Linked DNA regions of Tamandua tetradactyla. The protein of the gene in region 1 purifies or fractionates together with the protein of each later gene. This does not show direct contact. Links are inferred from orthologs where the notes say so. Each region holds a gene or a part of one and is shown on either strand. Other genes may lie near its edges.

Evidence for each region. Proteins that work in one complex are often made in the same cells at the same time.
Region 2: the proteins of TXNIP (region 1) and NLRP3 purify together in Homo sapiens (affinity purification with western blotting, with the first as the bait; 4 studies listed by BioGRID). This does not show direct contact. The link is inferred for Tamandua tetradactyla from reciprocal best matches to the Homo sapiens genes TXNIP and NLRP3.

What each region holds. Positions count from the first base shown.
Region 1 is NC_135330.1:1,467,796-1,471,740, reverse strand, and holds the start of TXNIP (thioredoxin-interacting protein), read left to right. Parts: upstream 1-927; 5' UTR 928-1,215; coding exon 1,216-1,465; intron 1,466-1,992; coding exon 1,993-2,065; intron 2,066-2,185; coding exon 2,186-2,333; intron 2,334-2,527; coding exon 2,528-2,630; intron 2,631-2,771; coding exon 2,772-3,028; intron 3,029-3,134; coding exon 3,135-3,291; intron 3,292-3,390; coding exon 3,391-3,542; intron 3,543-3,675; coding exon 3,676-3,711; 3' UTR 3,712-3,945. UniProt on the Homo sapiens protein: May act as an oxidative stress mediator by inhibiting thioredoxin activity or by limiting its bioavailability.
Region 2 is NC_135346.1:61,881,063-61,884,662, forward strand, and holds the start of NLRP3 (NACHT, LRR and PYD domains-containing protein 3), read left to right. Parts: upstream 1-1,132; 5' UTR 1,133-1,219; intron 1,220-2,770; exon of another isoform or gene 2,771-3,149; 5' UTR 3,150-3,209; intron 3,210-3,523; 5' UTR 3,524-3,600. UniProt on the Homo sapiens protein: Sensor component of the NLRP3 inflammasome, which mediates inflammasome activation in response to defects in membrane integrity, leading to secretion of inflammatory cytokines IL1B and IL18 and pyroptosis.

The DNA of each region.
Region 1 (3,945 bases):
TTAGAGGAGCTCCTGGGGGCTCGGGTCCTGAGGCCCTGACGCAGCCGGGGACCCCCCCTCCAGCCCGAGGCCACCACGCAGCGGCGGGCGCCGGTGCCTCGCGGCCGCGCCCCCTCTCCTCCCGGCTCCTGAAAGGCGCTCGGGAGAACCTCGACGGGGCGCAGCCTCCCGGGCCGCTGGCGCCGGGCACAGGGCGGGGTCCGGGGGGCACCCGCCCCGAGCCCCGGAAAGGGGTCACGTGCACACTCCTGCGGGCAGGAGGCTGAGGCAGGTTCTCCCTCAGAGACGCGGGTGGGGGTCTGCGCGGAGCAGCGCCGGTGGGCGCGCCCTTCCCCACGAAGTTCCCCTCAGCACATCTCCCCTCTACCTCACGCGCCACGCCCGTCGCCTAGGCGGCCGCCCTGGAACATCCGGGAGGGGCCGGGGGGGGCCTGAGGGGGGCTGAGGGGGGGCTGAGGGGAGCTGAGCGGGACCTGAGGGGGGCTGAGGCGGGGCCGAGCGGGACCTGAGGGGGGTTGAGGGGAGCTAACAGGGCTGGGGGGACCTGAGGGGGGCTGAGGGGGGGGCTGAGGGGAGCTGAGTGGGACCTGAGGGGAGCTGAGGGGGGCTGAGGCGGGGCCGAGCGGGGCTGAGGGGGGCTGAGGGGGGCTGAGGCGGGGCCGAGCGGGACCTGAGGGGGGCTGAGGACGGCTAACAGGGCTGAGGCCCTCCCCCGGCCCCGCCCCCCCGCGGGCAGCAGGCTAGCATCCCGTTTCCCCGCCAGGAGCACGCCGTGTCCACGCGCCGCGGCGCCCTCGCCGATTGGTCGCGTTGCTGGTAAACAAGGGCCGGGCAGCCAATGGGAGGGCTGTGCACGAGGGCAGCACGCGCCCATGGCCCGGCGCTCGCGTGGCCCTGCCCGGCCCGCCGCTATATAAAGCGGCTTCCGGGCCGGGGGCGCTGTGTTTGCAGACGGAGGGCCGAGGGGCAGGTGGGGGAGGACGCCAGCCTTGTTCTTGTCTCACCAGTGACGGACTTCCCGCTTTTCGCGTGTCTTCGGATAGTGAGCGTAGTTTGTGGGCGTCTCTGAGTCTTTTGTTTTGTTCTGGAGAGCCGCCTGCTTCAGGACCCCCCTCTTCCCTGGAAGAGTAAATAACCTGGTCACCGCGAAGGGCCCTCGGCGGTCTTGGGGCGGCCGGTCTGTCCTCCGTGTCTCTCGAGCCGCTCGGTGCAGCCATGGTGATGTTCAGGAAGATCAAGTCTTTCGAGGTGGTCTTCAGCGACCCCGACAAGGTGTACTGCGGCGGGGAGAAGGTGGCGGGCCGCGTGCTAGTGGAGGTGTGCGAGGTGACGCGGGTCCGCGCCGTCCGGCTCCTGGCCTGCGGGGTGGCCAAGGTGCTGTGGACGCAGGGGTCCCAGCAGTGCAAGCAGACCCTGGAGTACCTGCGCTACGAGGACACGCTGGTGCTGGAAGGCGAGCCGGCAGGTGAGTCCACTCCCCAGCTGCGCCCTCGGGCCCCGCCCGGGGTGAGGGCTGCAGGGCGGACGCTGGGCAGAGAAGAACCCGAGATGAGAAAATGAAGCCTACCCCCATATTTAAATTTGCTGAGATTGCCTTTTGCTTTTTAAGTTTTAATTTGCCAGCATGCCTCTCCCCAAGGCGGTCTGTACAGTGCCTTAGGGTGCCTGTCCTGAGGCCGTCCAGGGGCCTGTGCCCTGTCCCTGGGGCTGTCCCCAGCTTTTCAAAGCCTTGCCTAAGGCTGCACCTCTGCTTGCTCGCGGAGATGACAGCAGGTGTGTCTGTCCTCAGCGTGACTGAGCCTTGGAGCGTGACAGGGCTTTTCAACTTTCTGCTGCAAAGAAATGCACCAGAATCCTTTCATTTAGGAGTGTAAGGGGTGAAGGGGGGGCATTGCAATACCCTCACATGCTGTCCAAGCATTTCTTGTCACACAGATGTGTTTCAAGTGTAACAGGAAATCTCATGGGTGCTTACCTTTGCTCTCCCTTCAGGTGAGAACGAAATGGTGATCATGAGACCTGGAAACAAATATGAATACAAGTTCGGCTTTGAGCTTCCACAGGGGTATGGACCAGTCAAATGTACCTTTAAACCCTTCTGTCTTTAAAAATCTTCCCTCCCTTCGGTCATTTACTGTTTTTGGTGAACGTATCAGAATAAATTGTGCTGTTTTTCTTAACATAGGCCCTTGGGAACATCCTTCAAAGGAAAATACGGGTGTGTAGACTACTGGGTGAAGGCTTTTCTTGACCGTCCCGGCCAGCCAACTCAAGAGACGAAGAAAAGCTTTGAAGTGATGGATCTAGTGGATGTCAATACTCCTGATTTGATGGTGAGGCTCATTTTAAGATCTGTCCTCCTGAATTTCGAAGGTGATACATTTTGGGCATTGGATTGAAGTGCCTCAGGGGATAAGATCCTAGTCTGAAGGGAGGAGGGAAGCCTGCCTCCTCTAGGGAAGGAGTGAAAAGGTGGGAGAAGAATCTCTAGATAATCACAAACCATTCTTCTGCCCATTGTACATAGGCACCTGTGTCTGCTAAAAAGGAGAAGAAAGTTTCTTGCATGTTCATTCCTGATGGACGGGTATCTGTCTCTGCTCGAATTGACAGAAAAGGATTCTGTGAAGGTAAAAACCTAATGCCTGAAGTAGTAGACTTTTAAAAACAGGGACTCTGAGTTTGGAGGAGGGGGTTGGGTGGGAACTGGGAGAGGAGAAGTCGTTGACTGTTCTGAGCATCAGTTAAATTTGTGTCTTTCTAATTGCTAGGTGATGAGATTTCCATCCATGCTGACTTTGAGAACACATGTTCCCGCATCGTGGTCCCCAAAGCTGCCATCGTAGCCCGCCACACCTACCTTGCCAACGGTCAGACCAAGGTGCTGACGCAGAAGCTGTCGTCCGTCAGAGGCAATCATATCATCTCCGGCACGTGTGCGTCATGGCGTGGCAAGAGCCTTCGCGTGCAGAGGATCCGGCCTTCCATCCTGGGCTGTAACATCCTGCGAGTTGAATACTCCTTACTGGTGAGTGGGTAGGGATGGAGGGCTCTAGAGGAATTGCTCGTCTGTCATGACCACAGCAGGCTTTTCTCCAGACTTTTAGTCTAACATCTGCCGTTTTCCTTCCTAGATCTACGTTAGTGTTCCTGGCTCCAAGAAAGTCATCCTTGACCTGCCTCTGGTCATTGGCAGCAGGTCGGGGCTGAGCAGCCGGACCTCCAGCATGGCCAGCCGAACCAGCTCCGAGATGAGCTGGGTGGATCTCCACATCCCCGATACCCCAGAAGGTGAGCCAGACCACGTGTCTTGTCTTCCTCTTCTGGCCTGCCTCTTGGGAAACCGTGTGTGATGGCCAGGCATCTTATCCCTCTGATTTCTTTTTCTAGCTCCTCCTTGCTATATGGATATCATTCCTGAAGACCACCGATTGGAGAGCCCCACTACCCCTCTGCTGGATGACATGGATGGCTCCCAGGACAGCCCGATCTTTATGTATGCTCCTGAGTTCAAGTTCATGCCACCGCCCACCTACACTGAGGTGGGAACTGTCATCTTTGCCACCACCTTTGTCTGAAGCCTTCTGTATAGGGTGTTGATTTGGAGGGATTGCTAAGGTGTTTTCCCTTTTGGTTCTCACCCGGACTAAAATGGTCTTTCCCTTCTTACTCCAGGTGGATCCCTGCATCCTCAATGGCAATGTGCAGTGAGGTGGAAGCAGCAGCTGTACCTGTGTGTTTCTTTCCACCTCTCTTTCTGGACTCGTCACATTTTCAGAGGCTCAGCTGCCTCTGCAGTGGGGTGTGGGTGTACCCCAGCCTTTGACTCCTCTGCGCAGTAGGGCGTCAGCAGGGACACGCCTGGGCCTTAGTGTGTGAGGATTCGTCCTCAGCCTGCTCGGCGGTGTGATATGGGGTGTTTGCTAGATGAGTTAAAAGACAAAC
Region 2 (3,600 bases), on another chromosome or scaffold:
ATTTCAAGGCACACTTTAGCAAGTTGTTATAGAACAAATTTCAAGGTATGGTATGGGTTACAGTTTCACAATTTTAGGTTTTTCCTTCTAGCTGCTCCAAGACGTTGGAGACTAAAAGAAATATTAATATAATGATTCGGGAGTCGTACTCATTTGTTAAATCCTATCTTCTCTGTTATAACTCCTCCATCTCCCTAGATCCTTCTCCCAATCTTTAGGGATATTTGGGCAATGCCCATTTTATGATATGTATACACCACAGTTCGCCCTTCTTAAAATGGTTAATTTTGTTTTGTTTTACATGAATGTCACCAAAAAAAAAAAAAAAAAAAAAAAGAATAAATGAAGGCAGCAAGGGTATGTAGGGAACAAGGCTGTAGGAAAACAGAACAGATACATGGCAACTAGAGACAGGCAAGGGACTAAGTTATCACCATCTTGTACTCTAATTACAAAGCTCTTGACCTTTTTTCCTGCCAAGATTCTTGACAGGTGACACATCTATGGGCATACCTAGGGTTCTTCACAACTGTCAAGGGGCTAATAAATTATAACCTTTTATCTACCATTCAGGAAAGCATATTAGATTACAAAAAGGGAGAGGGATATGAATCTGATTTTATATTACAGATATGCATACATAAAAGTAAAATATATACTCTCAATAAAATATAAGTGTATACTTTAAAAATGTAAATCACTCATGAAACATTGATGTTCTTGTGATTTTTAGTAAGTGAGAACTTGCTACACCCCTCACACTAACTGCCACACAGCAGACTTGTGGATCCCTAGTCCTATTATTTCATGAAAATAATTTCTAAGTAAAGACAAGAATGGTACCCAAGGGCAAGACTCAACGTTGAACTGCTCTAGCACAGTCAGAGTCACATCCAATGCCTTTGTGTTCTTCCTCCAGGCATGCAGATTGGCGAGTTGAGCTCAGACTAGAGCTTAGTCCCTATTAACCCCTGGGAGGGGAGCATCTGTGCAGTGGTAAAACCCGCACAAGTGTACACAGTGGCAGGCTCAGTTTTGAGAGCATGAACTATCTGGTTTTGGAAAGTCCAACTCTGTGAGTAACAGTCTCTCTGCCTTTGCCTATGATGCAAGTTTGTTCCTACCCTCTAAGACCACATCCTTCCTGACTCCTGTGCGACTATGCCTGCTATAAATTCATCACATTTCCTCTTTTGCTGTTCCTGAAGCTGGTGTCTGGGTGAGTTCAGGTTGGTGGAGCAGGGTGGCCAAAAAGATCAGGGAGAAATGGGAAGGGTATGTTGAGGGTTAGAATATGTCTTGGTTGGTGAGCTTGTGCTATATTCTGAGACACTCCAAGACTGTCCTTCAACAGCATTTCTGGAATATTCTTTTATGTTTATGATTACTCTGGGCTCCATGTGTGTGTGTTTGTGTGTATGCAAGTGCATTTGTGTGTAGTGGGGAGACAAACACAAGGCAGAGGCAGTAGGGCAGGGACAGCAAACACAAATTATACCCAAGACTTTAGTGGGTTTGCCAAGCATCCTTTCAGAGGATTGGATGGATGAAATCCATGTGAGGAAAGAAACCTCCTTAGAAACCAAGAGGTAATAATTAGAATGGAGTATACTTGGGCTGGGTTTGGGAAACACAGAGGAGAGGTCAAATCCTGATATGGTCAGTGTGGCATCAAGGATGATTGATGGGGCAGGACCTGTGGAGAGTTGGAAGAATAAATGGACCTGTCTGGAAGGGTAGGGGGGTATGAGGCCAGGAGTGGAGAGGCAAGAATGATGAAAAATGGAGAGATGAAGTAGCATCTTAGTTTCCTACAGCTGCTGTAATATCCCAAATAGGATGGCTTAAAATAACAGAAATTTATTCTCTCACAGTTCTGGAGGCTAGAAGCTTGAAATCAACATGTCACCAGGTCCATGCTCCATCTGAAACCTGTAGGGGAGGACCCTTCCTTGCCTCTTCTAGCTTCTGTTTTTTTTTGTCAGAAATCCTTGGCATTCTTCAGCTTGTAGATGCCTCACCCTGCCACCTTCATCTTCACACGGCCTTCTCCCCATGTTCATCTATATCCAAATTTCCTCTTCTCGTAAGAACTCCAGTCACTTAGTTCCCACCCTAAATCCAGTTTTTCTTCATTTTAACTATCATATCTTCAAAGACTCTGTTTCCAAATAAGGTTGCATTCATGGGATTGGGAGTTATGATTTGGACATATCTTTTTTGTGGGAAACACTTCAAGCCACAATATAATGACATCAAACTGCGGTCATTATAAATTCCAACTTGGAGAGTATTCCAGCTCGCTTGGCCTCTTCTTATAATGTAATTTAAAGCTATAAGGTGGCATAGTGCTTTTATCATTTTTTGCTTCTGTCTGACTAAAACACTTATTTAAGTTTTAGGCAAAATTCTTTTATACATTTTCAACTTGTGAAAAGTGTAGTTAGTAGCAGGAGCTCTGAAATTGGGTGACTGGTTTAAATCCTGGCTCTACCCCTTCTTAGGTGTGAAATCCTGGGCAAGTCACTTGACCTCTATTCTGCCACCATAAAATAGGAAGAATAATATACCCAACTCATAGGGTTTAGTGCACATTAAATGTGAAAATACATCAGTGAAGAACCTAGCACCTGGGAAGATCCAAATAAATGTTGTCATAATTATTATTGTGATTTTTGTCAGGAAACATTCAAGTGATGTACTTATTATTCCCTCTTGTGCTTCTCAAATTCCATCTAATTTCAGTTTCTATCAACTCTTGAGTTATACATGATCCTTTCCTCTGCATGCTTCTATTCTCTCAACCCTTCTCTCCATTGCATATGCTGATCTGTTGTCACAATAATTCTGCATCTCCTATCCTTACCCTTCTTTTATCTTTCATGCATTTTTCCTTCAAAAACAAGACATGGAAATAGAGCTTTTCAGTTAGAAGAAACTTAAAAAAATCTTGTCTGCTCATTCATTTTATAGAAGAGGAAACTGAAGTTGAAAATCAGTAAAGCGTTTGTCCAAGTCATAGCCCACTATGGAAGCAAAATTCTCTTGATGATAGGTCAAGTTGTCATCATATACTGGTTGGGAGATTGGGCATACATTACATTGTTAATGAGATTAAGTTTGTGTGTTGAATTTTTTTCTTTCCATAGGAAAAGCTTTCTTTTATGACTTTAGATACTCTCAGATCAAACTAACAGAAAAACTTTCTGGTAAGTAATTTGGCTCATTTCTTTTTTCTTTTTCTTTTCCTATCTTTTTTTTTTTTTTGCTAATAAGCTTTCATTTTATCTTTTGTTTAAAAAATATTTTTATTGAGATATCTCATGCACAGTCCATCCAAAGTATATAGTCAGTGGCTCACAATATCATCACATAGTTGCATATTCATCACCACAATCATTTTTAGAACATTTGCACACTCCATCATAGTAAAGCGCTTTTTTTTCTGTTCAGTTTTCTGGGGTTTTGATAATTTAATTTTCTTTGGGCAAGTGGTTCTTTTAAAAAGAGTCTCCTTATCTAGATGCTGCTTTGTTTGTCTGACGTTTTCAACTAATCCCAGTGTGGACCCATGCCCATGGACTCTGACTGGAGCTGCAG